Saccharomyces cerevisiae S288C: one gene and its partner. The protein of the gene in region 2 interacts with the protein of the main gene of each other region in a biochemical or structural test. Each region holds a gene or a part of one and is shown on either strand. Other genes may lie near its edges. The genes, in order: RUB1 and DDI1.

Evidence for each region.
Region 1: the proteins of DDI1 (region 2) and RUB1 are reported together in a solved structure, tested with the Saccharomyces cerevisiae proteins (one study listed by BioGRID).

The regions. Positions count from the first base shown.
Region 1 is NC_001136.10:733,060-735,916, forward strand, and holds RUB1 (NEDD8 family protein RUB1), read right to left. Parts: upstream 866-2,857; coding exon 717-865; intron 644-716; coding exon 559-643; downstream 1-558. Other genes in the region: MTQ2 (S-adenosylmethionine-dependent methyltransferase), read left to right, coding at 1,079-1,744; DOP1 (Dop1p), read right to left, coding at 1,842-2,857. UniProt on the Saccharomyces cerevisiae protein: Ubiquitin-like protein modifier that can be covalently attached to lysine residues of target proteins. Activated by the dimeric UBA3-ULA1 E1 enzyme and conjugated by the E2 UBC12 to substrate proteins.
Region 2 is NC_001137.3:454,191-458,222, reverse strand, and holds DDI1 (Ddi1p), read right to left. Parts: upstream 1,905-4,032; coding exon 618-1,904; downstream 1-617. Other genes in the region: putative ubiquitin-specific protease UBP5, read left to right, coding at 1-417; MAG1 (DNA-3-methyladenine glycosylase II), read left to right, coding at 2,187-3,077; COX15 (Cox15p), read right to left, coding at 3,304-4,032. UniProt on the Saccharomyces cerevisiae protein: Aspartic protease. Appears to act as negative regulator of constitutive exocytosis. May act at the level of secretory vesicle docking and fusion as a competitive inhibitor of SNARE assembly.

The DNA of each region.
Region 1 (2,857 bases), on a different chromosome or scaffold from region 2:
CGTTGGCAAAAGCATGCTCCGAGTTTAGTATATACTTCCACTTGATAAAGTTGTAGCGCAAAGGATGCTTTTCTTAATGAGAAATTCGGTATACTACAAGAGGACATCCAATCGTGCTTACAAAATTGCCCTGGAAGACATGATTGAGAAGAAATGGCGAAATATGTCTTTTGGTCAGATAGTCTGTAATCGCATATAACAGTATGCTTGGTTTGCTCTTTATCACCACGCTTTTCCTCTCTTTCCAGCGCGAACCATGCAATGGCCAGCTTTATGAAATTTAAACCATAAAGTCATATGAGACCAGCAATCAGACCATATATAGCCGTACTATGCTATAACGGATAATTTGATAGATACTAAACAGTTTTAGTTCACATTTCTCGTCTAAAAACAATTAATTTATTATAACAGACTCTATAGACTAAATTGTATGTATTTTTTTTTTTGACAAATTGGGGGCGGTAGCCTTCCAAAGTCCAAGTGAACTTATGTTCGTTTTGTCTTCTTTTCTAATGAACACCTTCGATAAAATTCCATAAATGACGGAAAATGGTTCTAGTTACCACCTCTTAGTGTTAATACCAAGTGGAGTTGCATTCCCTCTACTAGATGTGCATCCGTTACTGTTAATTTATCATCACTATCCTGGTCGTTAGTAAGGTCTCAAAAACGTAAATAAACTTAAAAGATAATTAACCACTGAATGAACATACATTTGTTTTCCCTGGAATATAAGTCTTTGTTGAGATGGTGGAATCCCTTCTTTTTCCTCCAAAAGTTCCTTGATGTGATATACGAGATCTGATTCCTTCAGCTCAACAGAGATCTCCTTCCCAGTCAGTGTCTTCACTTTAACAATCATCGGTTACGGCTGTAAGGAAGTTAATTACCTTCCTTTATTTATTCCTCTGTCGGAATACTTCATTTGAATAACAGAATTTTGGTTTTTCAGCTAAAAGTTGTTCGTTTGCCTTCCCGAAGACGCCATCGGAATTTGATTTCATATAAATATTGATATAATTATACTCTGAAATATAATATTGATAAACTTAACACAGGGTGAGAAAGGTGAAGTATGCTACCGACCCCTTATGTAAAATGCGATTACGATAAAGTATATGAGCCTGCTGAGGATAGCTTCCTCATACTGGACTGTTTGGAAAAAGAGCATGATTTTTTGAAACAGAAATTTGGTAATCGTTTGGCCATCGTTTGCGAAATTGGTTCGGGATCAGGTATCGTCACAACATTTCTAATGCAAAACAAAATAATACCGCAGGAAAATTCCATCCACTTAGCTGTTGATATCAACCCATGGGCGCTCGAAGCAACTTTGGATACTGCGAAGTTAAATTCATGTAAAAGTTCTTTTTTAGAAGTGATTCAAGCTGATTTAAACTCCAGTATTCGGAATAATCAGGTTGATGTCCTAATATTTAACCCACCATATGTGCCAGCAGAATGTGTGCCAGATGTCCCAGGATCAAGAGAGGAGGCAGACCAATGGCTAGATTTAGCGTTATTGGGTGGAAAAGACGGGATGGCGATTACTGATAAACTGCTACGACAATTAGAACAAATTCTTTCTCCAGATGGTGTTGCATATATATTATTTTGTGCAAGAAATAAGCCTAAAGAAGTCATTAAGAGGTTTGTCGATACTTACAAATGGAATGTGAAACTTATTGAAACGAGAAAAGCGGGATGGGAAGTCCTCAGTGTGTACAGCTTTACAAGGTGACAGTTGCAAAACCTTTCACGTTATAATTGATAACCTGTGTCTTTACTCAAAGCGTATAACTATATTTCGGTTTATAAAGAAAAATTCATAGCTATGCTCATGACAGAATATCTTTTTTGAGATCTTCACCACAACCATATAAATCAACTGACCCTAGTCCGTAAACTTTCTCATAATGTAGATAACTCAAATTCTGGAAGAAGCTTCTTAGTTGCGTGTGTCTCTCGATTTTGTGAATGCCTCGTAATAATGGGAGACCATCTTTTAAAGTTGTCGGTAATTCAAGATCATCAGTTTTGGTTATTTCGTAATCTTTGAATTCTGCGATTTCATCTACCAGCGCGACGAATGAGTTCGTTTTATATACGCAATTTATTGTATCAATAACAAAGATCCACTCATTCGTAGAGGTGAAGCCTTCCATGTTGAGTAAGAGTAGCAAATCCAAAGTTTTACATACTTGCAATATTGTTTGTGGATCGACTTCTGACTGTATTTGAAGTGATTCATAAAATTCTTGCAAATTAGTTTGTAAACAGTAACTGATCATAGACCAATAGTCATTGAAATGGGACTCTGAAAATCTTAAAAGTAAAACCCTTAGTAAGATCCAGCAGCTTCCCTTGAGCTTGATATCTTTGGACACCAAATAGTGGAAAATGCAACTTATTAAAGAGGAAAAGTGCAACAAATATGCGTCATTTGGCGATACCATCAACAAGTACGATATTTTCAAAAGGTTTTGGCACTTGTACTCGACTTCAGAATCGCTTCCTAAGTTAAACGTGATTAAAGTCGGAGTCACACTTGAACGCTTGGAGCCAATTTCTAATAGTAAATCGTTCAAGATTTTTGACTTATTTTCTGGATAAATGGACCATTCGTAAATAATCTTTTCCCAAGTTTGATCGCTGCCAATTACCGAAAGTTTTTTGTCATTTTGGAACAATTCCGCAATTAAAAGCCTCCAACTTTTAACTTTTGAACCTAAATGGGATACGACCGCGGCCAATTCTAAGACATAACCTGGAATAGTTTTTTCACTTTTGGGTTTGATATAAGGGGTTAGGCATTGATTTACAATTGTCGCTAACGTTGTATTAAACTTGTCTC
Region 2 (4,032 bases):
TGTCCTAAATGCTTAAAAAAGCAGCCTTCCACTAAACAACTGAAGATTACTAGATTGCCTAAGAAACTAATTATTAATTTGAAACGATTTGACAATCAAATGAATAAGAATAATGTGTTTGTCCAATATCCTTACTCCTTAGATCTTACACCATATTGGGCGAGAGATTTTAATCATGAAGCTATTGTTAATGAGGACATTCCTACCAGGGGCCAAGTACCACCATTTAGATACAGACTGTATGGGGTTGCATGTCATTCGGGGAGTTTGTATGGGGGACACTATACTTCATACGTTTATAAGGGACCAAAAAAAGGTTGGTATTTTTTCGATGACTCGCTTTATCGTCCTATAACGTTTAGTACTGAATTTATCACACCCAGTGCATATGTTTTATTTTACGAAAGAATTTTTTGAATCAAATTACCGGTTTGCAACACATGAATGGCGCACATTGAGGCACAAATACAATCTGCATATTATATACTTAACAGAAGTACAATCATATACAATACAAACAACAATTGACGAAACAATGAAAGTATGTACATCCTTATACTTATCTATTTGTGTTATGGGCTACATACGTAGAGGCCGATCACAATATCAGTGGTTGCTCATTGGAAAAGGAGGGATGCAGCAAATTCTGCATTTCCGTTAGTCTGTTTAAGAGCCTTTACCACAGCATCCCTAGGGAAACCTAGATCCATAAGCTGTTTAATCGTTTGTTCGGGAAACGTTCTCCCGGTTGCCGTTGTAGCACCGGCTGTACTTCTTCCCGTAGGTGTTGGCCCCATACCAGTCCTTGGAGCAAGCGCAGGAACAGCCCCCGGTTGTGGTGGTAGAGTTGAACTAGTCTTGGTGGGTGTTAGGGGCTTATCAGACGAAGTTGTAACTGACGTTGGTGCTGGAAGTCCTTCTTGAAAACTTTTTGGGATTTCCGCTTCACTCAAAAAGCTTGTCTCCACTTCTGCTATCCTAAGAACGTTTTCCTTTAAGTCCACACAAGCCAAATGCCTTTTCAGCATGTCTAGTCCTATCAAAACATCGATGTCAGTATCTAAGACGGTAAAACTGCATGGAATATATTGTGTTTCTATTTTGACTTGGGCTTGGTGAATTCTCCCAATAATTTTGCCGGTTCCTACGCCACGAGCTTCTCCAATAAATCTCTTGTCAATCATTCTCGACAGGCCAGTTTTCTTCGCTAACCTGGTGGACATAATCGTTGTTTGAGCCCCTGTATCTACAAATGCCTTTACGGGGTAGTTATTTATTTCGATATTAATGTAAAGCATAGGGACCTGGGTAAACATTTCAGGTGTATATTCGATAGCATTGCGCAACTGTTCATCGATAGCTTGTTGGTCTAAAAGCTCTGCAATCCTCTTCTTGTTGTCAGGATCATCGGGGTTGGCCATTAGTCTAGTATATTCATCTTGGGGGATGCCAAAAGGATTCATGGCGGTGTTATAGCCACCATAACGTCTTTGTAATATGAGCGGGCCCAATCTTTCCCTAAACAACAGTGGGTCATTTACTAAATCATTCAATCCAGGGATTTGCAAAATGAGTTGTGATCTAAGCATTTGATTATTAAGTAGCTCTTGTCTAAATTGCTCTATGAACGCTTCGTCGGACAAAGTAGCAGCATCTGTTTGAATGGAATTGGAAATCTTACCCCTAATCAATAATAAGTCATCGGTTTTGAGCCCTAGTTCTTTTAAAGACTGAGTTCTGTTTGAGTCTAGAATGTCCATATTGTAATATAAGTCGTGTTTTGTTTTGTCAAACCCGCAATCGGCCTGCAGTAATGCTATTAGATCAGTTAAAGCCATATCTTCACTGACTTCAATTGGGCCGTATATCTCGCCAGTAAGTTCGTTTGAAATTGTTAAATCCATCTTTACGTATATTTTTGCTGTTATGTTTGGTATGTACTTTGTTAACTACGTTAAGTATACTTTCTTATTCGACCTACTTTATATATCATTTTGGTATTATTATCTTTTCGGTGGCGATGAATTTACAGGGCGGGGTGGCGACGGGAATTCTTACATAAAGTTTAAGTTATCTATGAATCAATGAGAATTGGCCACTGCCCTCTGATATGACGATGGAAGTGGTACTTTTCCTTTTTAATTTTTTACTGAGAATCAAGAGAAGCTAGAGAGGGATTGGTCTCAATGAAACTAAAAAGGGAGTATGATGAGTTAATAAAAGCAGACGCTGTTAAGGAAATAGCAAAAGAATTAGGGTCTCGACCTCTAGAGGTTGCTCTTCCTGAGAAATATATTGCTAGACATGAAGAAAAGTTCAATATGGCTTGCGAACACATTTTAGAGAAAGATCCATCACTTTTTCCCATACTTAAGAATAATGAATTTACGTTGTACTTGAAGGAGACTCAAGTCCCTAATACACTCGAAGATTATTTTATTAGGCTTGCAAGCACAATTTTGTCTCAACAGATCAGTGGCCAAGCAGCTGAAAGCATCAAGGCAAGGGTTGTCAGTCTTTATGGCGGTGCATTTCCTGATTACAAAATCCTTTTCGAAGACTTCAAAGACCCAGCAAAATGTGCAGAAATCGCAAAATGTGGATTGAGTAAAAGGAAAATGATATATCTAGAGTCTCTTGCTGTCTATTTTACTGAAAAATATAAGGATATCGAAAAGCTCTTCGGTCAAAAAGATAATGATGAGGAAGTGATTGAAAGTTTAGTTACGAATGTAAAAGGTATAGGCCCATGGAGTGCCAAAATGTTCTTGATCTCCGGATTGAAAAGAATGGATGTATTTGCTCCTGAAGATCTAGGTATTGCTAGGGGTTTTTCAAAATACCTTTCAGATAAGCCAGAATTGGAAAAAGAATTAATGCGTGAAAGAAAAGTAGTTAAAAAGAGTAAGATTAAGCATAAGAAATACAACTGGAAAATATATGACGACGACATAATGGAAAAATGCTCTGAAACATTTTCTCCGTATAGGTCTGTGTTTATGTTCATACTTTGGAGGCTCGCGAGCACAAATACAGATGCCATGATGAAGGCAGAAGAAAATTTCGTGAAATCCTAACTTAAAGATATCATGTATTACTGACATTTATATAAGAAAAAAAAAAATAAAAATAAATACACCCTATTGTTGTGTGTGATGCCTACTAAAGAAATTCATATTTACAGCTTCTCGTAGGGATACCAACATATAATAAGAAAAAGCCTCACACATACAATCCAACCATTGGAGCGACAAAGCGGAAAAGCGAGTATACTGTCAATTCTCATAAGAATACCTTTATCCATTATAATGGTTTCGAGGCTAACTTCGACGCTTCACTTAAAATTTTACCGCTAGTTACTTTGCTTGAATGTGGCAAGGTAATGATTACGTTTCTCATCGGAGCTCTTGGCTTCCTTAATTGAGAGGCAAACACCAAAGAACTTGTTAGCAACGCCAAAGCACCAGCTTGATGGATAGAAGCTAACGATATTGGGACTAGGTACAATATAGTTAAAATACCAAGTGTTGCTTGTAAAGTAACGACGCCCATCATAACATGCAAAGAGGTCATCGCGTTCCTTGGAATTACGGCCTTCTTTTTGATAGCGTACATATGAGCAGCTAGTACTGATGTAAACGCAACGTACGCACATGTCCTATGGACCAACTGAACTGTAACCGGGTTTTCTAGCAAATTCCTCCACCACAGATCTTTCTTGTCCTCTCTTCTACAGAAGTTTTCGTCCATTAATTCACGAGAACTAGGGAACCATCGTTCACCCATTTTTGGCCAGGTGTTATAGACCCAACCAGCATCCAAACCGGCAACCATACCGCCACTCATAGCGGTAAGGAAAGACACCGCTAACAAAGCTAAAGAAATCTTTCTCATTGGGCCAATTGCGGGATTATCTAATTTTTTGAAGAGACTAATGGCTTGAACAGGGTTCTTAATCCATTTACATTCTCTCAATATTTCCAAACCAGTCCAGAGCATACCCATGTATAAAAAGAAGGCGGTACCCAAATG